Linked DNA regions of Macaca mulatta. The protein of the gene in region 1 purifies or fractionates together with the protein of each later gene. This does not show direct contact. Links are inferred from orthologs where the notes say so. Each region holds a gene or a part of one and is shown in the gene's direction. Other genes may lie near its edges. The genes, in order: RUNX2, UBTF, SMAD1, EP300, SMAD3, HDAC4 and HDAC1.

Region 1 (4,462 bases):
AGCCCCGCAAGCTCATCTTGTACTCGAAAGGGCTCCAGAGTCCGCGATTGGCGCCAGGCCCCCATCTTCCGTGCCCCTCATGCTCTCAGAGCCCTTCCAGGCCCCTTCTAGGGCGCAGACCCGGGCGTGGGCTCAGCGAGTGAGAGCAAAGCTTTAAAACCAGACAGGGAGAGTCGTGGCAGGTCGCTATGAGGGTGAGGGAGGCGTTTGCACTGAGCAATAAAAACACCCAGTAATGGGTATGTGAATTGCTTTAAATAAGATGGGAGGGAGAGATGACCCAACCATCTTTCTTCCTTAATACTTCGAGGAGGAGGCATTCTAATTCTTCATTTATTTCATAAACTCACTTGTTACTGTGTCAGCTACTCCACTAGGAATCTTTGAAACTTTGGCAACTGAAGATTTTTTTCGCAAACACGTTTTCAAGCTTTGGAAGGCTTTAAAGAGTTTGGTAATAAGCAAGAAACGTAGTAGTACACAACGCCGAGGGTAAAACGGCCCTGTGCCCCCTTCTTGGGGTGTAATAGCCTCAAGCGGATTTCCCGGCTTCTGCGGGCGCAGCACATTGTTTTATTTGTTTTGAAGGCTCAGAGTTTGAGGCTGGTCGTAGACACCCACGTGCTCTGACTCTCATCAGCGTAATGATCGCCTTAGCCAAAGTCGTGTCTATATAAACCACAAAAACCTAATCATTAGAAATCCCAGCCTCCAAAAACCACATTTTAGGTAAAAAGTGCCGCTTTTTTTCCGCGCTCCTTCATCCTCTCGACCGCAACTTTTTGGGGGATCCAAAGTCGCTTTTTAAACCCACACTAGGAAATAAATACATAAATAAACAGCCACGGAAGCATTTTGAATTTTTTAGTTCGTATTTTTAATTTTTTCCCGTGAGCGTTGGGGAAGACAGACACGAAACTTAGTCTTAGATGTAGGATAGACTTAATAAAAGATTTAAATTCATGGAAAAAGGCTGGTGCTTTTCCCCAGCAAGGGTTTTGCAACTATTTTAATCACCAAGCTGACAGTTTTTCAGTCCTTAAAACAAAAACAAACCAACAACAACAAAAAAAACCTCATTCTTGTTCTCTAGGAATGACAAGATTGAATATATAAGAAAAAAGAAATGTCCAGCTATGCACTTGAGTTCCTAAAAACTACTTTGACTAGTTCTCCCCCCACCCCCCTCATTTTTTTGTGTCATTAAAACAAAAAACACCCAAACCCTGCAAAATCTTTTTCCCCTGGGAGTCGCTCAGACAGAGGTGGGGGGTGGAGGTGGGAGGGTGAAGAGTGCTGAGAAGTCAGCACAGACGCTCAAGAATTTTCCTTCCTCCTCTCCTGAAGTTACAACGAAAAATAGCGACAGTCAGATCAGCCGGGGGCTCTCTGGTGTCTCGGCTTCAATCTCTTCCGACAAAGAGGGGGTTCCTTGTCCTAGGGGTGGGGAGAACAAGAGGACGCGACCAGACGAGACTGCCCCTAGACTAGGGCCGCCTTTCGGCTTCGGAAGCTGCACAAGGCGCGCGGGGGGCTCCTTCTCGCGGCCGGCTGGCGGCGGCAGCGGCTGCGATTCGCAGGCTCGAGATCCGTTGCCCCGAGATCCGCTGCCCACGACTTACCTCTTGGCACCTTGAAGCGCGAGAGACAGGGGAGCTTTGCAAATTGTAGGAGGGAGTAGATGCAAGGAGGTGGCGGAGAGAGGGCGAGAAGAAAAGAAGGGAAAGGAAGGAGCCTAGCCGGGGAGCCGGGCTGGCAGCCGCCGCGGGAGGAATCTGAGCGTGCAGCCGGCGCGGGGGGAGCGGCGGCCGCCGCGGAGGCGGCGGCGCGGGAGGGCGGAGGCGCGGCCGCCTGCAGCTGGGTAGCAGCGCGCGGCGCGGCGCGGCACGGCGGTGGCGGACAGAGCGCGGCAATGCCGGCCCCGGGGCTGGACTGCTGAACCCACACCGCTTCACCACCGGACTCGAACTGGGAGGGGGCGCCAGCGCACCCAGGACGCGGTGCCCCAAGGGACCCCACTCCAAGCTGCAAACTCAAGTCCCCCGCCTCCCCGGGCCAAACACACTCCCGCGCCCGTTCGCAGCTGCCACCCCGGGTGTTCCAAAGGCTCCGGCAAAGATCTGCGCCTCCCGGATCTCCCTACCGGCCAGCCCGTCTGCGCCGCATCGCCAGACTCTCTTGGCCCATCAGACTCCGCCCGGCAGTCGGCCTCATCAAACTTGATTTCTCACCTCCTCAGCCCCATCACCTCCATCCTCTTTCCCCCCGTCTCGCCTTCACCCCCCCAATTTCCTCCTTGCCCCTCATTTCCACCCTCCTCCCCCTCCCCCGGCCACTTCGCTAACTTGTGGCTGTTGTGATGCGTATTCCCGTAGATCCGAGCACCAGCCGGCGCTTCAGCCCCCCCTCCAGCAGCCTGCAGCCCGGCAAAATGAGCGACGTGAGCCCGGTGGTGGCTGCGCAACAGCAGCAGCAACAGCAGCAGCAGCAGCAACAGCAGCAGCAGCAGCAGCAGCAACAGCAGCAGCAGCAGGAGGCGGCGGCGGCGGCGGCGGCGGCGGCGGCGGCGGCGGCGGCAGCTGCAGTGCCCCGGTTGCGGCCGCCACACGACAACCGCACCATGGTGGAGATCATCGCCGACCACCCGGCCGAACTCGTCCGCACCGACAGCCCCAACTTCCTGTGCTCGGTACTGCCCTCGCACTGGCGCTGCAACAAGACCCTGCCCGTGGCCTTCAAGGTAAGAGTCTACACCGCCCCCCGCCCCCGGCCCGGAGCCGCGGAACCTGCCCGCCGGTGTCTTCCTGCCCACGGGGCTGGGCCCCGGACGTTCTCCAAGACCTCCTGCCTTGGCGGCTCTAACCCCAGAAACCCCCGGCTGGGCCTCTCCCTCCGGATGCCCTGGCGGGCTCCAGGCTCAGTCCCTCCGCGCAAATCCCTCCTTCTCCCACCTGTGCCCGCTGCCACCCCGACTTCAGCCCTCGTCCCCCTGACCCGTTCATCACTCCTCTTGCCTCCTGCCCGGCCTCGGTTCTCACCCACTCCTTCGCTCCGTCTCCCTTTCCCCCAGGATCCCCAAGGTGCCCACTCTTGCACTGCGAGCGGACTTGCTCCACCCCGCCCCTTTCCCGAGGGCGAGGATCCCCGACACTGTCCCCCGGGGCTCCCGCTTCCTCCTCCTTGGTCATCCCGGCCTGGCCTCATTGCAGGCTGCCCGCGTCGCCTCTCTTTGGGGCTCCGCGCGCTCCCACCCGCTTCCCTCCCAGCCAAAAGCCCCTCCTTAGGTCTCGGCGTCCCCTTCCCTGACCCGCAGAGTTCAGCGGTCCTGGTCCCTCCCGGGCTCCCGGGTCGGGATTCACTGGGTGCCGGCGCCGGGCATTAGTGCCCAGGGCTGGGCGTGGGGTGCTGACTGAGGCGCGCGGGCTGCGCTACCCGTGCCTGGGAGGGTCCCGGACAAGACTAGGGTCTCCAGAGGAGGGGGTGTCAGGACGGGGGCGTTTGCTCTGTTCGCTGACCCGCGCCAGATCCCGTTACCGGGAGGAAGGCGGGGCCGCCTGGGCGTCCGCGAGCCCCGAAGCGGGGGCGTTCAGGGGGCCTGGGCGCTGAACCCTCGAGTGCTGGGAGGTGCTGGCCAGGGGAGGGGGCGGGAGCTCAGGCCGCTTCTTCCAGCCGAGACCGAGCTATGCGCCTCGCCCCGCCATGGAGGGATGAGGGAAACCTGTGAAACAACTTGAGTTCGCCCAATTTGAAAACGGAGGTGAAATTTTGTATTTTTGCTTTAGTATTATTTTTAAAGGACTTAAATCTAAAAAAGGTCCCTCCTGCTTCTGAAAGGTGGTGAGAGGCTCCTGCCGGTGGTCTGAGCACAGAGTGAGTTCGAAGGCTTGAGAGCGGCCTCTGCGCGCCCCGCGGACTCTTGTGCCTGCCCGGCCCGTTAGTTTGAGGGCGGGTGGCAGCCGCGGGAGTCGCAGGCAGGTGCTCCACAGGTTGAGGGTTTAGGATCTGGAGCCTCTCACAGTAGCCCGATGGGTCTCCGTAACTCGATCCGGATTTCCCGGGGCAGTCCTCTCCAGTGGGGGAGACGCGGAGTCCCCAGGGCCCAGCGCATACTGGGTTGATGGGGAAATGGGTTCCCGGGCTGTCCACACTCGCAAGACGCCAGGGATGCAGGGGGTGGTAAGCCAGATGTGGAGATGAGCACTCTCACAAAGGTGCTTTGGGCCCTTTCTACCTCTGAACTTGAGTAGGTGGGCCTGGGTCCCCTGGGTTCTGAGGTCTGTGGAGAGCAGGGCAAGCAAGGCCTCGGGGGAGGTTAAAAAAAAAGTTGGGGGAGGAATCATGCCAGTTTCTCCACTGGGGACCCGGTGGCCAAACTCCCACGGGCCACTGACAGTTCCCAGTTGTTGATAATTCTCACCCCACGCACCAATTCAGATTCCGTGTGTGGGTGGGATGGAAAGAA
Region 2 (4,476 bases), on another chromosome or scaffold:
GATAACCTTTCCTCTGAAAAGGGGAGGCAAAGACAGACAACCACAGCCATGATAGTGGGAGGGTGGGTGGTGGACCCCGTCCAGGCCTTTCATCCCCGGCCTGCAGTTTAGTGAACCGGGAGACGTCTCGTCGCAGGCTGCTCCGCTGCCGCCCGGAGCAGCGAGAACCGGGTGCTGGGCTCCCCTCGCGGCTGCCCGCCGCCGCCGGGGGGCAGCGCCTGCGGCCTGCTTTCCCAGGGCCGGCCGAGGCTTTTTGACAAGCTGATTGCGTGGCGAGGATTGGCTGGTCCGGGCGTGACGCCGGTAACAACAAAGGTGGAGTTGGAAGAAATTAGATTAAAGGAGAGAAAAAAAATTAAAGGGGGAGCTGGCAAAAGACAGGAGGTATAGACCGAGGGGGAGATGCGCCAAGTGGTGTCTCCCGGTTCCGACTCCCCCCCGCCCCGCCTCGACCCCAGAAGATCCCTCGCGCAAACCCACTGGGATTTTGCTCTTTCCCCTACCCCCGCCCAGTGACCGACGCCGGGGTAGGAAGGATAGCCGCTTCTTCTTGAAAAATCCCCGCAACTCCCACCCTGACACCCCTCACTACGACCCAGGGGGAGAACTTTTTGCTCGGACTCCTCGGATCCTAAACCCAGCGAAGAGGGGGACATTGATAAGCTCGTCCTTTTAAAACCCGGAAGGCCCTCGCGGAGCATGGAGATCGGATAAGGCGGGGTGCTCCCTCGGTTTTCCGATGTGTTGCAAATCTAAGAGCTTCTTTCTCGCTTTTTTTTTTTTTCCCCTGTAACTACCCCCCCTCCCTTTTGCTTCAGGGTTGCAAAAGCAAAGAGCAATAAAAAAAAAAAAAAAAACCGCGCACACACTCAGACACACACCAGTGGCGACAGGGGAGAGTTGGAAAGACGCAGGAGAGAAGCAGGAGGCAGGAGGCAGCGGGGATGGAGCAATGGGAGCGGGAAGCAGGCAGGTTTCCTTGCAAATCCCCCTCCGGCCTCACGCCGCCTCCCAGCCCCGGCAGGGGAGCGAGGACCCCGGCGAACAGATGGAGGAGTGGAGCTCGCTCTAGGCAGCTGGGCTTGGCCGGAGAATGGAGGAGCCACCAAGCGACCGGCTGATTGGAAGAGAAACGCAGAGCGATGGAGGCGGGGGTAGGAGGACGATTTCTCTGCGGGGACTGGCGGCGGCGTACACGCCCGGGTCGGGCGCTGCAGAGCTTGGCTGGCTTTCAACCCGCGCTCGCCGGCTCCAGCCCCGCGCGCCCCCACCCCTAGCCCTCCCGGCGGCTCCGCAGGTGAGTGCGAGCTGCGGGCAGAAAGATCCAAAAGTCTCAACACGCCCGCCCTGCAAAAAAGGAAAAAAGAAAAAAAAGGAAGAAAACCATTTTACTTTAAAAAAAAAATTTTTTTTTGTGCAACCCCTAAAGCAGTGGGAGGGAAGGGGTGAGGCTGAGCCGCCCGGAGGAGGCGGAGGGGCCAGGCGAGGCCGGGGTGGCCCGGGAGGCGGCGGCGCCGAGGCGGCTCTGACGGGCAAGCGCTCGGAGCGGCGCTGCGCTGCGCCGAGGCGGGCGGGCGGGCGGGCGGAGCGGGGCGGGCGGAGCGCGGCGCGTGGGGCTCGCCATTAGCCGTCGCTCCGCTTCGCCATCTCGGGCTTTGTCTGGCGACTCGCTGCCCCGGCGTCGGCTGCAGCGGAGCTGCGGCTCGGCTGTTCCGCCCGCCGTGCTCCCAGGTGCCCCCGGCCTGCGCTCCCATCCACACGCTCGGTAAGTGAGCCCGGGCGCCGCGGATTTCGGGGGAGAGGGGTTGCTACGAGTGGCGGCGGCACCGATCTCCATGCGCCCGGGCAGGCCTGGGGAGCCATGCCGGGCTGGATTGAACCGGCTCCCACAGCGGCCCCTCCGCCGGAGCCCGTCGTTCCCTCGCCGTTTCCGGGGTGTAAAGAGCAACGGGGATTTTTTTTTTTAATGCAGAGATTTTCGGTTTTGGGTTTTTTTAAAGTTTCCTATGTACCGTTCGGCAATGAGAGGATCGCGAGGTAGGCGCCGAAGCTGGACGCCGCGATCGGCGTGCGTGCGCCCCAAACCAGTGGCCACGCTCCGGGGGATGAGGGTGGGCGCGGACCGCTCGCTCCGGGAGGCGGGAGAGAGCTGGCCTGGAAGCCCCAGTCTGAGCTGGGAGGACTTGGGGGAGAGCTCCGGAGCAGGGCTGTGGGCGCCCCCCAAGCCTTCCTGGCCGCCGGGGGCCCCTCCGGGCACCCTCTCCGCGGCCGCGCCTCGGCCCTCCCTCCCGCGCCGGCAAAGCCTGCTAGTTCCCCCGCGGGTCTGGCGAGGTCGCTCTCGGCGCCCGCCCGCCCGCCCGCCCCGGCTCCGAGCCCCGCCGCCATCCGGGCGGCTGCGTGTCTCCCTGCCCCGGCCCCCCCCTTCCCCGGCGGCGGCGGCGGCGGCAGCAGCAGCAGCAGCAGCCGCCGCCGCCACCAGCACCAGCACCACCACCACCCCCCTCCCCTCCTTCCTTCCCTCCGCCTCGGCCGCCCGGGTCCCCCCAGCTCCCGCCCCTCCTCCCAGCTGCCCCCCGCGGAGCCCGCCCGGGCAGGCTGTGGGAGGGAGCGGAGCCGGCGAGGCGGGCGGGCTGGCGCTCGCTCCCCGGGGGTCGGTGTGCGCTCTACGGGGAAGGACGCGCTCGCTGCCCCGCTTCTCCCGCCCCCCCTCCCGCTCCTCCTCCTCCCTTCTCCCTCCTCCTCCCCGCTCCGGCGGCTGAGGCTGCGGCGGCGGCGGGGGGTGTGCGAGCTGAGGCCGGGGCCGGCGGCGGGCGGGCTGCCTGCAGGCGGAGGGCGCTGTGCTTTGTGCTTTTCGCCGCGAGGAGCAGCAGGCAGCAGCCACAGCCGCCGCCGCCGCCGCCACAGCAGCAGCAGCCGCCGCCCCAGCGCCGCCGCCTCGCCCGGAGGAGGAGCCGCTGCCGCCGCGGGAGGGAGCTGCGGCTGTGCCCGGCCGAGCGGGGGAGGGCGCCGCCACTCAGAGCCGGGGAGGGAGCCGCCGGAGCGGGAAGCCCGGAGGCCGCGCTGCGCCGGGTAACCGAGGCGGCTGAGAACGCGCGCTGGGTTCGGGGCCGGACAGCAGGGAGCGAACCGCGGGTTGCGGTGGGCGCCCAGCAGGGACCCGGAGCGACCACCGAGCAGGGGACCGGGCGCGAGCAGACCAGGGCACTTGGGAGGACGCCGAGAGCCGGGGGAGGGGAAGGCAGGAAGCGAGGCCTGAGCCGAGCCACGGCCGCTGGCGGAGGAGCCCGCGCTTCTCGGATCCGGCAGGCGCAGTTCTCCCCGGCCGCCGGAGGGGGCGGCGGGGCCGGTGAGCGCTGCGCCCCCGCCTCCCGGCCGCCGTCCTCCCGCCCTCTCCTTGGCTCGGCTCCCCGGAGGCCGGGGCGGGGGCGCCGGCGGGGCTGGGCCGCAGGCTCGGGGGAGGAGGCGGCGGTTCCCGCCGCGGTCGCGCCTCTGTGCCGGGCTCCTCCGTGCGCGTCGGGGTGGCTGGGTGGTGGCGGCGCCTCTGGCCGGGGTGGGTGGCTCGGGGGCGGGGGGCAGGCTAGGCCGCTTCTCTCCGGCTGCTCGCCCGCCTGTGCGGGCGGGGACGGCGAAGGGAGCCCGGGAGGGGGGAGCGGCGAGAATCCGGATCCGGTCCCCGGGGGCGGTGCGGCCGCTGCGCTCCGGGGCTGGCGGCGGCTGCGCTGCGTCCGGGTCCCCGCCGGGTTGCGGAGGCGGGGGGAACCGGCTGGGGGGAGGCGGGAGGAGGAGACTGGGGCGCGTGCCCGCTTCCGTGGCCGCGCGCGCCCTTTACCCGCCCTTCCTCTTCCCCCGCCCTCCAGCCTGGGGCCTCCCCGGGGCGGGCGCTCAGAGGAGGAGGAGATTTTTTTTTTTTTTGGCTGGGGTTGGGGAAGGGGGGCGGAGGGCGGGCGCTCGCTGCACGCGGGAGCTGGGAGCAGGCCCTCGCGTGGGCAGGGGAGGGCGCGCGCCGCGGAGCCGGGCCGCAGGGGCTGGGGGAGGGGGGTCAGGAAGAAGAGGAGGGGCGTACTCTCCCTCCCAGAGACCCCTTAAGTCTGATAAGGTTATGGCTGGGTCTCTGAGAGCGTGGACCTGCCCACCTTTACTCTGGGCGGGGAGGGTTAGAAAGTCGTTCACCTCTCAGCCTTCCTGAGTGGGAACTTGTATGTCTTCCAAAGGGTGAGGTGGCTTTGACCCCGGGTTGCCCGGCCAGCACGACCGAGGAGGTGGCTGGACAGCTGGAGGATGAACGGAGAAGCCGACTGCCCCACAGACCTGGAAATGGCCGCCCCCAAAGGCCAAGGTAGGGGCATCCACTCCCAGCCCTCTGAAACTTAAACCCTCTTTGCCTCGTGGCTGTGGGGCACACTGCCTTCTTCAAGGGCTTTTCCAGTCTGCATACACTGAATTGGGGGAGAAAGTGCCTTGAGTACTTATGAATCA
Region 3 (3,132 bases), on another chromosome or scaffold:
AATTGTAACAGAACATTTTACTAACAGTAGCCAATCTTGAGCTGTTTTCAAAATGATTTTTGGATGTTAACATAAAACATATTTTATAAATTATTTGTACTTTAAACTCTATGTCTGAAAAGTCCAAGTCAGCTCAGCTGAACACATATTTATAGAGCTTCTGCCTTCTGTCGTTATGCTATATATCGGAGGTAAAGATAAATTCCTGCCTTCAAAGATGTTGATATCTGATGGAGGAAACCTGCACATAAGCCTGTAAATTAAATTTAGGAGTTTGTTTATATTTACAAACGCATGAGTGTACGTACATCTATGTAGATACATATATCTATATAGATGTAGTTTATACAAGTTTTGATGTTCGGATACATTTCCTTTTCTTTCTTTCTTTTTTTTTTTTTTTTTTAAGACAGAGTCTTGCTCTGTCGCCCAGTCTGGAGTGCAATGGTGTGATCTCGGCTCACTACAACCTCCGCCTCCCAGGTTCAAGCAATTCTCCTGCCTCAGGCTCCCGAGTAACTGGGATTACAGGCGTGTGCCACAGCACCCGGCTAATTTCTGTATTTTTAGTAGAGTCAGAGTTTCGCCATGTTGGCCAGGCTGGTCTCAAACTCCTGACCTCTAGTGATCCACCTGCCTGAGACAGAGTCTTGCTCTGTCACCCAGGCCGGAGTGCAGTGGTGTGATCTTGACTCGTGGTAACCTCCGCCTCCTGGATTCAAGTGATTCTCATGCCTAAGCTTCCCAAGTAGCGGGGATTACAGGGATACACCACCACACCTGGCTACTTTTTATATTTTTAGTAGAGATGGGGTTTCACCATGTTGGCCAGGCTGGTCTGGAGCTCCCGACCTCAGGTGATCTGCCCGTCTTGGACTCCCAAAGTGCTGGGATTACAGGTGTGAGCCACCGCACCTGGCCCCAGATCTATTTCTTAAAACTACTGGAGTAGATAGGTAGCAGAAATAAATAGAACCCAACCTTCTCTGATACTCCTCATGAAACAGTGACTAAAGGATTAATCATTGTCCATCCCCACCAGTGAGTTTTTGATCTTTGCAGTAGCAGTTACTTTTCTCTTTTTCATAGTGACTTTATTCTGTGGAACTCTACTGTCTTAATGCAGTAGTTCTGACAAGCTACCTTCTTGTACAAATGAATGATAGAATGTATTGATTCATGGCAATGGCTAGGTGTCAATAATAGCTTTTTGGATACTTAAATGTACTCCTGCCCGTTTTGCTTAGAGATTGAAAGATCAAGAGCTGTGTGTTGATAGGAGGCTGATTCAGTGGCCGAATAAGGAAGAAATTGAATGTCAGTCTGTCTAGCATAGCTTTTTTGTTTTATTTTCTTGATAAAATGAGAATTTAATAATAGCTATTACATTACTATCAGAAATGGGCAATTAAAATAAAAGTTTTACAGTGCCTTTATTAAGACAACTTTATAATGTATTTTAAAATCTTCATTCCTCAAGACTGGTAATTCTTATTGGAATCCTTGGATGGACCCTGGGGAGCTAACATCCATCCTTTGAAATTGCCTGCCAAATTATATGTGTGTTTGTATATGTGTGTTTTTTTCTCCCCGGCGGCGGGGGGCAGGGAGGAAAGATGCATAGCTTTAATCAGAGTCTTGGTTATGTGAACCCTTCTTACTTAATAAGTTTAACCACTGAGTTAAAACAAGTTAAATGACCTCCAGTATGTTTTTCCTAGGGCTGGGGAGCAGAATACCACCGCCAGGATGTTACTAGCACCCCCTGCTGGATTGAGATACATCTGCACGGCCCCCTCCAGTGGCTGGATAAAGTTCTTACTCAAATGGGTTCACCTCATAATCCTATTTCATCTGTGTCTTAAATGGCCCCAGGCATCTGCCTCTTGAAAACTATTGAGCCTTGCATGTACTTGAAGGATGGATGAGTCAGACACGATTGAGAACTGACAAAGGAGCCTTGATAATACTTGACCTCTGTGACCAACTGTTGGATTCAGAAATTTAAACAACAAAACAAAACAAAAAAACCCACCTTGGTAACATACTGTTGATATCAAGAACCTGTTTAGTTTACATCGTAACATTCTATTGTAAAATCAAACTAAAATGCAGACTTTTAGCAGGACTTTGTGTATAGTTAAAGGAGAAATGGCCAAGCCAGGGACAAATTGTCTATTAGAAAATGGTCCTAAGAGATTCTTTGGTGTTTGGCACTTTAAGGTCATCGTTGGGCAGAAGTTTAGCATTAATAGTTGTTCTGAAACGTGTTTTATCAGGTTTAGAGCCCATGTTGAGTCTTCTTTTCATGGGTTTTCATAATATTTTAAAACTATTTGTTTAGCGATGGTTTTGTTTGTTTGTTTTCAGTAAAGGTTAGTCTTGATGATATACATAATAATCTTTCTAAAATTGTATACTGACCATACTTGCTGTCAGAATAATGCTAGGCATATGCTCTTTCCTAAATATGTATGTACAGAGTATTTGGAAGTTAAGAATTGATTAGACTAGTGAATTTAGGAGTATTTGAGGTGGGTGGGGGGAAGAGGGAAATGACAACTGCAAATGTAGACTATACTGTAAAAATTCAGTTTGTTGCTTTAAAGAAACAAACTGATATCTGAATTTTGCTGTGTTTCCATTTTTTAGAGATTTTTATCATTTTTTTCTCTCTCTTTTGGCATTCTTTTATCTCATGCTCTTCAAAAGGCAGTTCTGCAGCTGGTTAATTCATGTAACTGTGAGAACAAATGAATAATTCCTGCTATTCTGAAATTGCTTACATGTTTCAATACCAGTTATATGGAGTGCTTGAATTTAATAAGCAGTTTTTACGGAGTTTACAGTACAGAAATAGGCTTTAATTTTCAAGTGAATTTTTTGCCAAACTTAGTAACTGTTAAATATTTGGAGGATTTAAAGAACATCCCAGTTTGAATTCATTTCAAACTTTTTAAATTTTTTTGTACTATGTTTGGTTTTATCTTTCTTCTGTTAATCTTTTGTATTCACTTATGCTCTCGTACATTGAGTACTTTTATTCCAAAACTAGTGGGTTTTCTCTACTGGAAATTTTCAATAAACCTGTCATTATTGCTTACTTTGATTAAAAATTTGTCATTTCCTTTG
Region 4 (2,833 bases), on another chromosome or scaffold:
GAGCAGGAGGAGTATGGTAAAACTAACTCAGCATGGCCGGGCGCGGTGGCTCAAGCCTGTAATCCCAGCACTTTGGGAGGCCGAGACGGGCGGATCACGAGGTCAGGAGATCGAGACCATCCTGGCTAACACAGTGAAACCCCGTCTCTACTAAAAAAATACAAAAAAAAAAAACTAGCCGGGCGAGGTGGCAGGTGCCTGTAGTCCCAGCTACTTGGGAGGCTGAGGCAGAAGAATGGCGTAAACCCGGGAGGCGGAGCTTGCAGTGAGCCGAGATCTGGCCACTGCACTCCACCCTGGGTGACAGAGACACTGTCTCAAAAAAAAAAAAAAAAAAAAAAAACTAAGCATTCGCCAGTCTCATTGGTGCTTAGCCTGCTTTACCTGCTCACACCTGTAATCCCAGCACTCTGGGAGGCTGAAACAGGCAGATCACTTGAGCTCAGGAGTTTGAGACTAGCCTGGGTAACATGGTAAAACCTCGTCTCTACAAAAAATGCAGAAATTAGCCAGGCGTGGTGGTGTGGGCCTGTGGTCTCAGCTATTCAGGAAGCCAAGGTGGGATAATTGCTTGAGCCCAGGAGGCAGAGGTTGTAGTGAGCCAAGAGCACACCACTGCACTCCAGTCTGGGTGACAGACCGAGGCCCTGTCTCAAAAAAAGAGATTGTGTGTTTTGCAGGTCTTCTTTGTGATCCGCCTCATTGCTGGCCCTACTGCCAACTCCCTGCCTCCCATTGTTGATCCTGACCCTCTCATCCCCTGTGATCTGATGGATGGTCGGGATGCGTTTCTCACGCTGGCAAGAGACAAGCACCTGGAGTTCTCTTCACTCCGAAGAGCCCAGTGGTCCACCATGTGCATGCTGGTGGAGCTGCACACGCAGAGCCAGGACCGCTTTGTCTACACCTGCAATGAATGCAAGCACCATGTGGAGACACGCTGGCACTGTACTGTCTGTGAGGTAGGCACTGGGTTGTGGGAACAAGGAGGTGAGCTCTGCAGCGTTGTTCTGAGGGGCCATGCAGCCTCGTGTTGTATATAGGCCTGTGGGATGGCAGGGGCCTGGCCTTGTGTTTGCGAGGCAGAGCTGAAGAGGCTGGTTTTTGTTCTACAAAAGGGGCTTTTCCAGCCCAGAGAGTATCCAAAATACTTTTGAATGACTTAAATCTTGGAGAGTTTACCTGCACTTCCTGTTTTTTCTCTAGGATTATGACTTGTGTATCACCTGCTATAACACTAAAAACCATGACCACAAAATGGAGAAACTAGGTCTTGGCTTAGATGATGAGAGCAACAACCAGCAGGCTGCAGCCACCCAGAGCCCAGGCGATTCTCGCCGCCTGAGTATCCAGCGCTGCATCCAGTCTCTGGTCCATGCTTGCCAGTGTCGGAATGCCAATTGCTCCCTGCCATCCTGCCAGAAGATGAAGCGGGTTGTGCAGCATACCAAGGGTTGCAAACGGAAAACCAATGGCGGGTGCCCCATCTGCAAGCAGCTCATCGCCCTCTGCTGCTACCATGCCAAGCACTGCCAGGAGAACAAATGCCCAGTGCCGTTCTGCCTAAACATCAAGCAGAAGCTCCGGCAGCAGCAGCTGCAGCACCGACTACAACAGGCCCAAATGCTTCGCAGAAGGATGGCCAGCATGCAGCGGACTGGTGTGGTCGGGCAGCAACAGGGCCTCCCTTCCCCCACTCCTGCCACTCCAACGACACCAACTGGCCAACAGCCAACCACCCCACAGACGCCCCAGCCCACCTCTCAGCCTCAGCCTACCCCTCCCAATAGTATGCCACCCTACTTGCCCAGGACTCAAGCTGCTGGCCCTGTGTCCCAGGGTAAGGCAGCAGGCCAGGTGACCCCTCCAACCCCTCCTCAGACTGCTCAGCCACCCCTTCCAGGGCCCCCACCTGCAGCAGTGGAAATGGCAATGCAGATTCAGAGAGCAGCAGAGACGCAGCGCCAGATGGCCCACGTGCAAATTTTTCAAAGGCCAATCCAACATCAGATGCCCCCGATGACTCCCATGGCCCCCATGGGTATGAACCCACCTCCCATGACCAGAGGTCCCAGTGGGCATTTGGAGCCAGGGATGGGACCGACGGGGATGCAGCAACAGCCACCCTGGGGCCAAGGAGGATTGCCTCAGCCCCAGCAACTACAGTCTGGGATGCCAAGGCCAGCCATGATGTCAGTGGCCCAGCATGGTCAACCCTTGAACATGGCTCCACAACCAGGATTGGGCCAGGTAGGTGTGAGCCCACTCAAACCAGGCACTGTGTCTCAACAAGCCTTACAAAACCTTTTGCGGACTCTCAGGTCTCCCAGCTCTCCCCTACAGCAGCAACAGGTGCTTAGTATCCTTCACGCCAACCCCCAGCTGTTGGCTGCATTCATCAAGCAGCGGGCTGCCAAGTATGCCAACTCTAATCCACAACCCATCCCTGGGCAGCCTGGCATGCCCCAGGGGCAGCCAGGGCTGCAGCCACCTACCATGCCAGGTCAGCAGGGGGTCCACTCCAATCCAGCCATGCAGAACATGAATCCAATGCAGGCGGGCGTCCAGAGGGCTGGCCTGCCCCAGCAGCAACCCCAGCAGCAACTCCAGCCGCCCATGGGAGGGATGAGCCCCCAGTCTCAGCAGATGAACATGAACCACAACACCATGCCTTCACAATTCCGAGACATCTTGAGACGACAACAGATGATGCAACAGCAGCAGCAACAGGGAGCAGGGCCAGGAATAGGCCCAGGAATGGCTAACCATAACCAGTTCCAGCAACCCCAAGGAGTTGGCTACCCACCACAGCAGCAGCAGCGGATGCAACATC
Region 5 (3,985 bases), on another chromosome or scaffold:
GGGCCAGGACACAAGCCACAGCTGCTCCTGGCCCTGTCCTTCCTCCCTTCCCCATTAAGTACTTTTGATGCCTTCATCCTTATCTTCCTTTGCTCCACCCCAGGAAGAGAGGAAAAGGTTAAGAATGCTTTGCCTCCATCTTGATGGTGATCAAGATAGGACCAGGCTGTTTTCAAGTTCATAGAATCCAGTTTTTATCATTGTGTTAACACCATGTGCTGAGTGCTTGATGCGCACCCTGCACTTCACATGAGTTATCTCTGTCTGTCTAGAAACAGCGCCGAGAGTAAAGAGGATGAGGCCCAGAGAGTGTAGCTGGTTTGCTCGCAGTTGCACGTCTAGTCTGTGCCTGAGCCAAGACTGATCTCCAGTCTGTCTGGAGGATGGCTTTATAGCTTGTGTCCCATGATCCAGTTAAATATCTAGCGCCGTTTTGCCCTCTAGAATACATCTGGCAATATCCACAGCCTTCTTTTATTGCCACAATTTGAGAGGGTGGTATGGATGTATACTGCTAGCACCTAGTGGGCAGGGGTCAGAATGCTGGTAAACATCCTACAATCTACACACGCTCCCTCCCACCCACCTACCCAACAAAGAATTATCTGGCCCCAAATGTCAGTAGTGCTGAAGTTGAAAAACCTGACCTAGGGTGTCCTAACCCTCCAGCTGACTTCCTGGGCGTGTGTGGAGTGCAGGGGTGTTACTGGCCTGCCCCTTCTCTGTTCGTGGTAGCATTCTCCTTGCTTTTAGAAGGGATCATGTGCCTAGACCCCATAAGGGGATCAGGGACTCTTTGTCCTGCAGGCAACCAGACCCCTTCCTGTGGGCAGAACAGCTTCTGACTTTTCTCTCTTGGGCTTTACACACTTTCAGAAGGTCTAATGAGCGGGGGTGCCCCCGGTGGTTTCCCCCTCCTAGACGTTGCCTGGTATCCATTGAGCAGGGTTCTCAGGCCAGGGCGACGGCACGGGGAGCCTCTCCTGTTCCCCCCTCAACAGAGCCCTGCGCTGAGGGTTAAAGTGAGGGAAGAGAGATGTCAGCCTGGGCCCTGGGACCTCATGGTCGAGTTGGACAGTCAGGATGCTCACATAGAGGCACACCCTTAGTCACTGCGTGGCTCCAGGTATATTTAAGAGCCAGAGGGACTTCAGAGCCAGGCTGAAGCTTTGAGATGGAAGAGTGAGAATGAGCAGGGGACTCCCTGATTCTTCAGCAGATGGATGGGATTCAGGTAGGCATCAAGCAGAGCGTGGCAGGCCAAGGGCTCGTGCCCAGCAGTCAGTGCAGCACAGAGAAGCAGCTGCAAGTGGTTGGCCCAGGGCGCAGGGCAGTCCTGGTCCAGAGGCTGTGGCATCGGTGTGAGTGGGAATTCCGAGGGCCCGGCCAAGGGCTGAGAGTATGGACCTGGAGATGCTGCAGAGGCGTGCAGTAGGAGGGCACAGCGCCAGGGCCGCTGGGCTGGGGCAAGAGGAGGGCAAGGAGGCCCCAGGAAATGGAAGGCTGGGATCCATTTCCAGTGTAAGGAGAAGCTGCCATTTACTCTTCTGAGAAAGAGAACCAGCCCCTCGCAGGATGGCAGTTTTGCTTTGAGGAGCCCCATATGGAGACTACACAGACAACTGGGACAAATCCAGATTTTCTTTCAGATGGGTTTGTGTCCCAGCCACCCCAGCAGCCGGCATGTAGATAAGTGTGGAAAATGGTTTCTGTGATAAGAGGCAAGGCTCCAGGCTCAGTCTGCGGACGATCCTGGTGTGTCCACTGCGCTGACACGGGGCCCTATTGGGAGCCCACTCGGCTGCTGCAGGCTTGGAAGCTGCTGCTCCACAGGCTGGGAGTTTGCCCCCAGGGCTGTGCAGAGCCAAAACCTGAAAGCCCTTTTAGGGGCAGGGATTAATGGTGGTTACTGTAGGAACCTTGCAAGAGAGGCTGAGAGGTGACTGTGCGGGAGGTGTGGACTGCCCCACAGTGGACACACTGCAGTGGCTGTCCCAGGTTCATCCAGGTACTGGGTGGCCCCTGGTCCTCTTCAGGTTTGGCCCAGCCCCTGCTTGAAGACTCCTTCCATCCAGTCAAGGCCAAGCAGGCGGGGCAGGGCCTCTATGAGCTTAAAAAAAAAAAAAAGAAATCAATGGCCCTTTACACACACAGTGTGGCAAGGCTGACGGAATCTCCTCCGGACACCTGAGCATCTTGTTCTGGTGGGTGCTGCCAGTTTTATACGATAAAAGGCACCAGGTGGGGAGACTATTAATCCCTCTGAAATGTGGGGAAATGGTTCTCCAGAGCGTCCATGGGACCCCATCGAGGCAGCATGGGGCTTGGGGCACCCACTGACCCAGTAGCCCGCCCTGTGTCCACAGACCTGCAGCCAGTTACCTACTGCGAGCCGGCCTTCTGGTGCTCCATCTCCTACTACGAGCTGAACCAGCGTGTCGGGGAGACGTTCCACGCCTCGCAGCCATCCATGACTGTGGACGGCTTCACCGACCCCTCCAATTCGGAGCGCTTCTGCCTCGGGCTGCTCTCCAACGTCAACAGGAATGCAGCAGTGGAGCTGACGCGGAGACACATCGGTATGGGGTGGCTCCATTCCCCGCCCCCACCCTGCCCCTGCCACTCTATCGCGCCCCCAGCCCCAGGCCCGAACACACAGCCTCTGCAGGGAACCTTGCCTCCATCCTTAGCTGTGCTCTGCCTCCTGCTGGGCATGGGGGAAGACTCACCGCCCCAGCAAGGCCCCCACATTCCCTGTTGCCCTGTTTAGGGGCCAGACAGGTAGTGTTCAGGCCACTTAATCATTCCCACTCAAAGATATAATCTCAGAAAACCTGGAAGCCACAGAGGAAAATACTTAAGGGATCGAGAAGGGAATGTCTATGAGAAAGGCAACATATGAAATCTTTTTTTTTTTTTTGAGACAGAGTTTCACTCTATCCAGGCTGGAGTGCAATGGCACAATCTCAGCTCACTGCAACCTCTGCCTCCCGGGTTCAAGCGATTCTCCTGCCTCAGCCTCTCAAGTAGCTGGGATTGCAGGCACCCAACCACCACGCCCGGCTAATTTTTATATTTTTAGTAGAGATGGGGTTTCTCCATGTTGGTCAGGCTGGTCTCCAACTCTTGACCTCAGGTGATCCACCCGCCTCGGCCTCCCAAAGTGCTGGGATTAGAGGCGTGAGCCACCAAGCCCGGCTGAAATCCTGTTAATAAAAAGAGTTTGAAAGTGCAGATGGATAGGTTGATAAGTAGGCAGTCGTCGTTGGAAGAGTGATCTTTTCTTATTTTTATGTATCATTATTCTAGACAATTTAGAAAAGGTAGAAAAGAATTGTCCACTATCCAAACACCACTACTGTGAACCTTCTGCCTTCGAGCCCGCAGAACATAAGTAAAAGATGACTCTGTGAGTTTAAGGAAGATGAAGCTGTGTTACGTATCGCTTGGTTTGCTTATGAAGTTATCATGCTTAGAGGATTTTACCATCCAGAACACAACTGTGAGAACTTAGAAGGGCTGTGGAGAGATGGCAGAGTGACGTTTTCTCAGACCTCGTCCTGGAGCCCCAAGGGTTGGCGAAGGGTTCCTGGGGCAAATTCAGGAGCTGGGCAGGTTAGCAAAGGGAAGCCTGGCCCCACGTGAACCAGGGCACCTCTGCATTCGCTTGCTTTATATCTCGGGCTCTCACAGAAGCCTTCGTTTGAAGAGAGGATTGATTCTGTAGTGAAGAGAAGAAAAGTTTGGAGGCCACAGGCCTAGGTCTGTGCTGTCATTTTCTAGGAGAGGGGCCTGATGTCTAGGGGTGGGGAAGGGTAGGGAATGGCTCTCAGAGACCTCATTGTCAGTGACAGACAGCCCCCACTACCAGACCCGTTCTCCCCATTTTGCTTTTTGTCTTTTACTTCAAAAAAGATACTTATTCTGGGTGGCATACCACTGTTGGATTGATTGATTGATTTACAGATAGGGTCTTGCTATGTTG
Region 6 (4,709 bases), on another chromosome or scaffold:
GTTTTAAAATCCTCTAATTCACCATTCCTTTCCTTCAAAGTTCAGCCATATCAGAGTAAGCACTTCTCACAATGACCAGAGTTTTCTAATTATTCGTTATTGAGATATTTAAAGAAATGCAAAATTGGCATTTTTATTTTGCTAACTGTATTTTTATCCACACAACTACAGTTTCCCCCCCCGCCAAGAATCAAAGGTCGAGAATGCTGTAAAAACGGATCTTTGCTCATCTAAGAGGAATGGCCCACAATCGAAGCGAACGCTCATCCCCGCCAGGTCCGCATCCCTGGGCCCACGCCGTCAGGCCCCACGCACCGGCGCGCGCTGTCAAAGGCGCTTCCTCCCTGGAACGCGGGATTCCGGGGACAGTGTGTGCACCCAAGTTTAAAAGTTGTCACACTCTTGTTGGAAAGAAATGGAAACATCACCAGCAGGAGGGTGGCCACTGAAGACTCCCGCCCACACCAGCTGGCAACCAAAGGCGCTTGCGGGGATCTACGGACCGACCTTTAATTCAACACAAGCCCCCCAAGCTCTGCGGCCTTAAAACAACACCCGCCCGGCCGGTGCGGAGTTCCCGCCACCTCCACGCCTGCCTGGCCCGTGACTCGAGACCCTGGCGGCGGGCCGGGCTCCCTCCGCCTGAGCAGGGACCCGACGAGCGCATCCCACGACCCTCAGCAGCAGTTGCAGGCCTGGCAGACCTGCACCCCATGCACACCCAGACAGCCGCGTTCCCGCCGCGGGGCTGGGCGAGGCCCGCGGCGCCTGCGCACTCGGTGACCGGGCCGCCCTGCGCCTCCGTGCGCACGCAGCACCACGTGACCCACTGCCCGTACCCAAGATGGAGGCAACGGCGAGGCCTGGCCAGCTCCCCGCCTCAGCCTGCACCCCATTGTGTGCCCTCTAAGCGCGAATTAGGCTCGCAGACACGCGGTGCTGACCGCTAGGTAGCCATGCGGGCTACCGAGTGGGACTAGACACGGCCGGGGCCCGTGTTTACGGTCACTACTGGCTCCGGGTCTCTGCGCCTCCTCAACCGCGAAGCACCCAGCGGCTGGCGCCTGGAGCGTCTTTTGGTACGCCCCGCCCCCTAGAATTGACAGCTCCAGGAGCCAATGAGGTCCAGGATGCGTGCGGGGAGGCGGGCAGGGGTGGAGCCTCTCCGCCGCTCACGGGGCGTCCGGCCCCGCGGTTGGGCAGCCGCGGGGCGAGGGGTGGGAGCAGACGGGCCGTGCGCAGGTTTCAACGGACCAATGGAAGGCCGGCCAGGCGCCCGGGGCGGGCGGGCGGGAGGCGGGGCCGAGCCGTAATTGACGAGCTCTTCATTAGAAACCAGGCGGGAGGGCGGGGCCCATATGGGGAGGTGACGCAAGGCTGCCGCAGCCAGTGGTTGCCGAGCCGCCGGCGGGCGGGGCGGGGCCGGGTCGGCTGACGGGCGTGCAGGGTGGCCTATCGCCGCCCGGCTCGACGCTGGAGGGGGGAGAAGCATCATGGTTCAACGTGGGTCAATTTTTTGTGAATGAGGAGGGGAGGTTGTGGGGCCGCCGCCGCGGAGCACCGTCCCCGCCGCCGCCCGAGCCCGAGCCCGAACCCGCGCGCCCGCCCGCGCCGCCGCCGCCGCCGCCGCCCGAGCAGCCTCCCAGCCTGGGCCCCCGGCGGCGCCGCGGCCGCGTCCCGGCTGTCGCCGCCCGAGCCCGAGCCCGCGCGCCGGCGGGTGGCGGCGCAGGCTGAGGAGATGCGGCGCGGAGCGCCCGAGCAGGGCTAGAGCCGGCCGCCGCCGCCCGCCGCGGTAAGCGCAGCCCCGGCCCGGCGCCCGCGGGCCATTGTCCGCCGTCCGCCCCGCGCCCCGCGCAGCCTGCAGGCCTCGGAGCCCGCGGCAGGTGGACGCCGCCGGTCCACACCCGCCCCGCGCGCGGCCGTGGGAGGCGGGGGCCAGCGCGGGCCGCGCGCCGTGGGACCCGCCGGTCCCCAGGGCCGCCCGGCCCCTTCTGGACCTTTCCAGCCGCGCCGCGAGGCGGCCTCGCCCGCCGGGGCGGGGGCGCGGGGGTGGGCACGGCAGGCAGCGGCGCCGTCGCCCGGTGCCGGGCCCGCGCCCCCCGAACAGGTGGGCTCCGGGCCGCCGGGAGTGAGGGCGGGGGCGGGCGGGCGCCGGGGCCGGGCGGGCGCCGTTTATGTAACTTTGTCAAATGCTGTGAGTTTGCAGAAAAACGTCCCTGCCGGGGTCCGCGGCCCCTCGCGTGTCGTCGCCGCTGCGAGCGCCTGGGGGGTCGCGGGAGGCGGGGGTGCTGCCCGGGACCCCCTCGGCTCAGCCCGCAGGGCGCCCGCAGGCCGAGACGGGGCCCGGTCCAGCTCGGGGGTGGGATCCGCGTTTCCCCGCGTTGCGAAAACACACCACGGAATCATAAGCAAATTATCTCGTATTTACATTGAGCGTTGAATTATTTGACACTGTTATAGCAGGAGACCGTGCGTATCAGTTGGAAAGGCCGGGGGTGGAACCCAGTGTACTCATTTAATGCACATCAAAAATTTGTAATAACTTGAGGCAGCTGATATGAGTGTTTTCTTTATTGCATGTTGTAAATTGACCTGCTGTGACACAATTTTCAAATAAAGCGTTGCAGAAATTAAACTTAAGTTATTTTAAAACTAATGACTTTCTTAACTAAATCCTAATTGCATGACTGTAGAGACCTACCTAATTGCTTGCTGAGAGCAGTTCTGCTTGCTCTCCGTGAGGGAGGAAAGGGCCTGTGTAGTCACTTTGCCGCCCCGTTTTTCTCTATTCAGGCTTTTCTGTTTATTCCCACAAATCACTGAAGCAGTTAAGGCCTGGGAGTAAACCTGTAAACAGCCCTGGCCCAGCGCCAGCCCAGCAGGACTGGGGGGATACTGGCAGGTTTGCACCTTGACCTGGTTTCACTTTTTCTTTTGTAATATGATCGTGGTTGCCTGGAGTTTTAATTGCTTCTGATAATTCTGTGCATTATTTTCGGGACTGTCCAAAGAAGGCTGGTGTGGTGGTTTCAGGACCCAGCCAGGAAAGGTGGTGGTGGTGACTGGGGAAAGGGAGGGTGGAAGGGAGGGAGATCGAATTAAGAAAACTCAGCTGCTTGTACACAAATATACACTACAGCAGTTACAAAGCAACAAAAGTTATTGCAGAATTTTGCAGTAACTATGGCAACACAATTACTCTATTATAATTGGAAATGCAGAATGCCACCCAGTTAGAAGTTTCATCAGAATGGAGTTTTGGATATCAAAAATATGTGAAATTTAATTTTTTTTCAGGTAGCTCCTGTGAATTCTAAAATCTGTGTTCAATTACCTATTTTTAAGACTGATCGAGCCTTCCCAGATATTCTACTCTCTGGGATCTGTGGCATCTTTCCCCAGAAGAACTCACATTTGTGTGGGAGGGAAGTATTTTCATGCCTTAAAAACACACACCCCAACACATTGTAAGACTTCTATAGCTTTCTGTGTTCTGGGCTTTTATTTTAGAGATCAAATCCCATCCTAAAGAGAGCAGTAATCAATTAGAAAAGAAGCCGGCTGTACTCAGCAGGCAGAGGCAACGCTGCCCTCTTTAGGGTTCTTTCTTCTGCAAGGGGAGCTGGCAGCAGGCATGCCCCCCGGGGAGCCCTGGGCTAAGGGGCGGGGCAGAGGGAAGATGACTGGACTGCACATAGGCCTGGAAGGCCTGGGGACGAAGGGCAGATGTGGCCTCGGAGTCCTGAACCAGGGACAATATTCTGTGTTCAGCAGCTTCCTAGCCATGCAAAATAAAAATCCGCAAATGCCATGTTCTCGGAGGCCTTGGGGGCTGTTGCTGTAGCAAGATGGGCAGAACAACCTGGCACACTGGCCACGTGCGGCTCAGGCAGCCCATCTGGACTCTCTGTGGCCAGAGACCTGGTTGGGAAGGATGCTCTATGGATGTTTACCAGGAGGGCTCTAGTGCTGGAAGTTTCCACACATTGTGGGGTTGCTGCATTTAATTTCGTTATAACTCTTTCCTTTTAACTACTGCATATTTATGCCCAGTAATCGACTTCCATTCTCCAGCTTCATTGTGAGGTTTCAATGCAGCATGAATGGCTTTGAATTCCAATCCTTTGATGTTGGGGGTGGCACCAAAGGAAAGGCGACTTTATGCTGTCTTAATTGCCGGAGCAGAAGAAGCATTTCATCACTCCTGTAGAATTCGTCCATACCGTTCTCTATTGAAAACGGCTGGGCTTTCATAGCTCAGAAGCTGCCATGAGTAATATATTAATACCTGATGTAGGGCGCGAAGGAGCCGCAGAGGCCGAGAGAACTGCCGCTGCTGAGAGGCAGCGGGGCGACAGGCTGTGGCCGGGCTTTCCCTCCGAGGCTCAGAATTGTTGACTGTAGCTGGGGATGGCGGACATGAAGGGCGAAGGGGCCCAGTCTCCACCTCAACTTGTGGCTGTGGAACCGGGACTGAGCCCCTGCCCCGTTGTTTGCAGCCCCCAGTGTGTCCTGGGATAAGGAGTTGGAAAGGATGGATTTGGAGGGAGTGTTTGTTTTGATCTCAGATGGTCAGCACATGCCCTGCCGTGTGGTGGGCTCTGGGTGTTTGGCCTTGACATTAGAGGCGGGTACCGCACCTTCTGGTTCATGTCAGATGATGGGTGCCATGTCGAAAGTGATGCTACCTTTGAATAGACCTTAACTCA
Region 7 (4,456 bases), on another chromosome or scaffold:
TTTTTTTTTTTTTTGGAGACAAGAGTTTCGCTCTAGTTGCCCAGGCACAGAACAGCTTCCTACAAAAAAGAATTACCTGGCCCAAAATGTCATTAGCTTCCAAGCTGAGAAACCTGCTCTTCTAGGCCAGGCACCATGGCTCATGCCTGTAACATTGGGAGGCCGAGGCGGGCGGATCCTGAGCTCAGGAGTCGGAGACCACCTTGACCAACATGGAGAAACCTCGTCTCTACTAAAAATACAAAGTTAGCCGGGCGTGGTGGCGCATGCCTGTAAGGCCAGCTACTCGGGAGGCTGAGGCAGGAGAACCGCTTGAACCCAGACGCAGAGATTGCGGTGAGCCGAGATCACACAGCACAGATCACACCATTGTACTCCAGCCAGGGCAACTAAAGCGGAACTGTCCTCAGGGAAGGGAAGGGAAGGGAGGGGAGGGGAGAGGAGGGGAGGGGAAGGGAGGGGAAGAGAAGGGAAGGAAAAAGGAAAGGAAAAAGGAAAGGAAAGGAAAGGAAAGGAAAGGAAAATCTGCTCTCCTATCATAGGATAATCCCATTTCTTCCTGTCTAAAGAGACTCCTACTTAAGTCATCCTGGGTGACTGCTTCAGGGAGGTAGGTTTTGGAGTCAGAAAGGCTGGGTTCTGTCACTTTGTTACAGTGCCTCTGGTGCAAAGAAGGCATTCAAAAAACCCTGTACAGTTGAAAAATTGAATTTAATTACTTTGTGTAACTTTGAGTAATTCACAGAAATCTGAACTTCTTTATCCTGTCCTGTAAAATGGAGGTAAAAAGCCCTTGGCCGAGAGGTGTTTTGAGGAAAAACTGAAATAACATTGGTAAACTGTCGCACAGTACTTGGCACACAGCAGCCCCTCGACAAACAGCTTTCTTTCCCTTTCTTGTCAGTTTCTTCCTCTCAAAACCAGCGTGTTGCTTTTCTTTTTAATTTAATTATTTTTCTGTAGCCCTCCTTTGCGATCACAAACTCGCTTTCTAACCCAGGTTCAGCCCTTTTATTGGCTGAGTGACCTTGTGCAAGTCACTTTTCCCCTGTAGGCCTCGGTTTATTCTCCGTAAAATCAGAAAGTTGGCCTCCGATCTCCAAGCACGCTTTTCACGACCAAGTGGGACTGTTAAGTTTACGGAGCTGCTTTCCTCCCCCGGGACTGATGGTACGGTCCCCGGGCGGCTCCCCACCCATCTGTCGCAGACCTTGGTACAGGCCCAGGGGGCCCTCGGCGGCCTCTCCGGGCTGCCCTTGCCCCCTGCCGAGTTCCGGGCCCGTGTCTGCGCAAGCTGATTGGCTGGAGCGGTGCCCGGGCTGCGCGGCTATAGGTGAGCTCAGGAGGGGACGGGCGGGGCGGGCCGGAGACCCGCCCCCTCCCCCCTGGGTCGGACGCTGAGCTGAGCCGCGGGCGGGAGGGCGGACGGACCGACTGACGGTAGGGACGGGAGGCGAGCAAGATGGCGCAGACGCAGGGCACCCGGAGGAAAGTCTGTTACTACTACGACGGTGAGCACTGTCCTCGCGGCGGGGGCGGGGCCGGGCCGGGCCGAACCGGGGACCTGGAGGCTGAGGCTGGAGCGCCGATGGGAGGCTGCGGGAGGCTGAGGCGCTGGGGAGAGGCTCGGAGAGGAGGCTGCGAGGGGGAAGTCGAGGCTGAGGGAGGAGGCTGTGAGGAAAGGAGATCGAGGCTGAGATCGAGGGGATCGCGTGGGGGAACCCTGAGGTAATCTTGGTGGGAAGATTCTGAGGAAGTCTGATGTGGAGAGTTTGATGTGGAGAGTTTGAGTGGGACTCCTAGAGGGGAGGGTGCGTCCGAGGAGGGAGGCTGAATCTGATGGAGACGGCTGCAAGGATACATTTTCTTGCCGAGAACCCAAAGCTCTTCCCTGCCCCGTCTCTTCCTCATCTTTTCTGGGAGAAGAGCCCTGCACGACTGGTCGCCCGCCTCCCCTCCCCCAGCCTCTGAGCGGGGCCTGCGGTTGCTACTGCGACGTGGGGCGCCAGGGGTTGCAAGGAGAAGGATGCAACCTGTTAAAACAGGCTTCTCACTTAATCTCTCAAGCAGGTTACTGTGTTCGAGGAAGTGTTGAGGGGCTGGGGCGGTGGGAATGATCGGGTCCCAGTGACCGAAGTTCTCTCCGTGTCAGAGCTCAGAGTGTTAGAGGAGCACAGAGAATAGGCACCGAACTCCACCTGAGGAGTCAGCGAAGGAGGGGACGTCTCAGGACCTGAAGAACAGGAGTTCTTAGCCAGGCAAAGGGAAGGCAAAGATAACAGCAAGTTTCAGAGGCAAGAGAGAGGACAGCACCTTTGAAAAACAGGCATTTGACCGGGCGCGGTGGCTCACGCCTGTAATCCGAGCGCTTTGGGAGGCCAGGGCAGGCGGATCACTTGAGGTCAGGAGTTCGAGACCAGCCTGGCCAACATGGCAAAACCCTGTCTCTACAAAAATATAAAAAGTAGCTGGGCGTGGTGGCGCGCGCCTGTAATTCCAGCTACTTGGGAGGCTGAGGCAGGAGAATCCCTTGAACTTGGGAGGTGGAGGTTGCAGTGAGATGAGATCAGGCCACTGGATTCCAGCCTGGGTGACAGAGCAAGACTCTGTCTCAAAAAAAAAAAAAAGGGAAGAAAGAAAAGCAGGCATTTGTAACAGTATGGCTGAGACATAGATTTGGGGGCCTATTGTAGAAGGTGGGGACCCGGGGCGAGGGAAGTGTTGCAAATAATGTGGTTGCTGAAGTAAATGGAGACCGACCAGGTGAGGTGGCTCACACCTGTAATCCCAGCACTTTGGGAGGCCAAGGCTGGTGGATCATCTGAGGTCAGGAGTTCGAGACCAGCCTGGCCAACATGGCGAAACCCCGTCTCTACTAAAAATACAAAATTAGCCGGGCATGGTGTCGCGCACCTGTAATCCCAGCTACTCTGGAGCCTGAGGCAGGAGAATCCCTTAGAACCCGGGAGGTGGAGGTTGCAGTGAGCCAAGATCATACCACTGCACTCCAGCTTGGACAACGGAGTGAGGCTATGTCTTAAAAAAAAAAAAATGTAAACAGGGACCAGACCATGAAGGGCTGGGCATGCTGTCCCAAGGAAGTTGGACTTTATTGAGGGCACTTGTGAATGATTCAAGTTTTATGCAGGTTAGTGACATCATCAGGTTTATACCTTAGAAATTAAAGTCATGGGCTGGGCACGGTGGCTCACACCTGTACTCCCAGCACTTTGGGAGGCTGAGGAGGGCAGATCACGAAGTCAGGAGATCGAGACCATCCTGGCTAACTTGTGAAACCCCGTCTCTACTAAAAATACAAAAAAATTAGCCGAGCGTGGTGGCGGGCGCCTATAATCCCAGCTACTTGGGAGGCTGAGGCAGGAGAATGGTGTGGATGCGGGAGGTGGAGCTTGCAGTGAGCGGAGATCATGCCACTGCACTCTATCCTGGGCGACAGAGGGAGACTCCGTCTCAAAAAAAAAAAAAAGAGAAAGAAATTAAAGTCATGGGGTCCAGGTGCAGTGGCTCACGCCTGTAATCCCAGTACTTTGGGAGGCCGAGGCAGGAGATCACTCGAGGCCAGGAGTTCAAGACCAGCCTGGCCAACGTGGTGAAACCCCGTCTCTACTAAAAATACAAAAATTACCTGGGCGTAGTGGCACGCACCTGTAATCCCAGCTACTCAGGAGGCTGAGGCAGGAGAATCACTTGAACCTGGGAGGCAGAGGTTGCAGTGAGCCAAGATTGCGCCACCGCACTCTAGCCTGGGCAACAGGGTGAGACTCGATCTCAAAAAAATAAAAAAATTAGCCAGGTGTGGTGGCACATGCCTGTAGTCCCAGCTACTCAGGAGGCTGAGGCATAAGAATTGTTTGAAACTGGGAGGCGGAGGTTGCAGTGAGCTGAGTTCTCACCACTGCACTCCATCCTGAGCAAAAGATAGAGACTTGGTCTCAAAAAAACAAAAACGAACAAAAAAAGAAATTCAGATTTTAGGGGTAAGGAAGAAGGCATGGATCCCAAGTTCCTGGTGTGGGCAATACATATATATATAGAGAGAGAGAGACAGTGTCTAGCTCTGTCACCCAGGCTGGAGTGCAGTGGCATGATCTTGGCTCACTGCAACTGCAACGTCCATCTCCTAGATTCAAGGGATTCTCCTGCCTCAGCCTCCTGAGTAGCCAGGATTACAGGCGTACGCCACCATGCTTGGCTAATTTTTGTATTTTTATTAGAGATGGGGTTTCACCATGTTGGCCAGGCTCGTCTCAAACTGACCTCCAGTGATCTGTCTGCCTCAGCCTCCTAAAGTGCTAGGATTACAGGCGTGAGCCACACTTCCTGGCCTCTGGTGTGGGCAATTTGATGGTGAGTGTTTGGAGGTTTGGAGAATGCCATGTCAGTTGATAACTTTTTTTTTTTTTTAACTTATAGAGACGGGGTCTCAATATATTGC

The links.
Region 2: the proteins of RUNX2 (region 1) and UBTF purify together in Homo sapiens (co-immunoprecipitation; 3 studies listed by BioGRID and IntAct, with this or other methods). This does not show direct contact. The link is inferred for Macaca mulatta from reciprocal best matches to the Homo sapiens genes RUNX2 and UBTF.
Region 3: the proteins of RUNX2 (region 1) and SMAD1 purify together in Homo sapiens (affinity purification with western blotting; 3 studies listed by BioGRID). This does not show direct contact. The link is inferred for Macaca mulatta from reciprocal best matches to the Homo sapiens genes RUNX2 and SMAD1.
Region 4: the proteins of RUNX2 (region 1) and EP300 purify together in Homo sapiens (affinity purification with western blotting; 4 studies listed by BioGRID). This does not show direct contact. The link is inferred for Macaca mulatta from reciprocal best matches to the Homo sapiens genes RUNX2 and EP300.
Region 5: the proteins of RUNX2 (region 1) and SMAD3 purify together in Homo sapiens (affinity purification with western blotting; 3 studies listed by BioGRID). This does not show direct contact. The link is inferred for Macaca mulatta from reciprocal best matches to the Homo sapiens genes RUNX2 and SMAD3.
Region 6: the proteins of RUNX2 (region 1) and HDAC4 purify together in Homo sapiens (affinity purification with western blotting; 3 studies listed by BioGRID). This does not show direct contact. The link is inferred for Macaca mulatta from reciprocal best matches to the Homo sapiens genes RUNX2 and HDAC4.
Region 7: the proteins of RUNX2 (region 1) and HDAC1 purify together in Homo sapiens (affinity purification with western blotting, with the first as the bait; 3 studies listed by BioGRID). This does not show direct contact. The link is inferred for Macaca mulatta from reciprocal best matches to the Homo sapiens genes RUNX2 and HDAC1.

Annotation. Positions count from the first base shown.
Region 1 is NC_133409.1:136,726,862-136,731,323, reverse strand, and holds the start of RUNX2 (runt-related transcription factor 2), read left to right. Parts: upstream 1-1,551; 5' UTR 1,552-2,359; coding exon 2,360-2,740; intron 2,741-4,462. UniProt on the Homo sapiens protein: Transcription factor involved in osteoblastic differentiation and skeletal morphogenesis. Essential for the maturation of osteoblasts and both intramembranous and endochondral ossification.
Region 2 is NC_133421.1:68,591,294-68,595,769, reverse strand, and holds the start of UBTF (nucleolar transcription factor 1), read left to right. Parts: upstream 1-1,625; 5' UTR 1,626-1,765; intron 1,766-2,575; exon of another isoform or gene 2,576-2,650; intron 2,651-2,844; exon of another isoform or gene 2,845-3,138; intron 3,139-3,335; exon of another isoform or gene 3,336-3,550; intron 3,551-4,211; 5' UTR 4,212-4,278; coding exon 4,279-4,336; exon of another isoform or gene 4,337-4,391; intron 4,392-4,476. UniProt on the Homo sapiens protein: Recognizes the ribosomal RNA gene promoter and activates transcription mediated by RNA polymerase I (Pol I) through cooperative interactions with the transcription factor SL1/TIF-IB complex.
Region 3 is NC_133410.1:154,128,486-154,131,617, forward strand, and holds the end of SMAD1 (mothers against decapentaplegic homolog 1), read left to right. Parts: intron 1-1,721; coding exon 1,722-1,865; 3' UTR 1,866-2,251; downstream 2,252-3,132. UniProt on the Homo sapiens protein: Transcriptional modulator that plays a role in various cellular processes, including embryonic development, cell differentiation, and tissue homeostasis.
Region 4 is NC_133415.1:10,339,211-10,342,043, reverse strand, and holds part of EP300 (histone acetyltransferase p300), read left to right. Parts: intron 1-680; coding exon 681-962; intron 963-1,206; coding exon 1,207-2,833. UniProt on the Homo sapiens protein: Functions as a histone acetyltransferase and regulates transcription via chromatin remodeling. Acetylates all four core histones in nucleosomes. Histone acetylation gives an epigenetic tag for transcriptional activation.
Region 5 is NC_133412.1:44,704,152-44,708,136, forward strand, and holds part of SMAD3 (mothers against decapentaplegic homolog 3), read left to right. Parts: intron 1-2,366; coding exon 2,367-2,579; intron 2,580-3,985. UniProt on the Homo sapiens protein: Receptor-regulated SMAD (R-SMAD) that is an intracellular signal transducer and transcriptional modulator activated by TGF-beta (transforming growth factor) and activin type 1 receptor kinases.
Region 6 is NC_133417.1:144,645,307-144,650,015, reverse strand, and holds the start of HDAC4 (histone deacetylase 4), read left to right. Parts: upstream 1-1,644; 5' UTR 1,645-1,792; exon of another isoform or gene 1,793-2,107; intron 2,108-4,709. UniProt on the Homo sapiens protein: Responsible for the deacetylation of lysine residues on the N-terminal part of the core histones (H2A, H2B, H3 and H4).
Region 7 is NC_133406.1:208,584,349-208,588,804, reverse strand, and holds the start of HDAC1 (histone deacetylase 1), read left to right. Parts: upstream 1-1,396; 5' UTR 1,397-1,462; coding exon 1,463-1,511; intron 1,512-4,456. UniProt on the Homo sapiens protein: Histone deacetylase that catalyzes the deacetylation of lysine residues on the N-terminal part of the core histones (H2A, H2B, H3 and H4).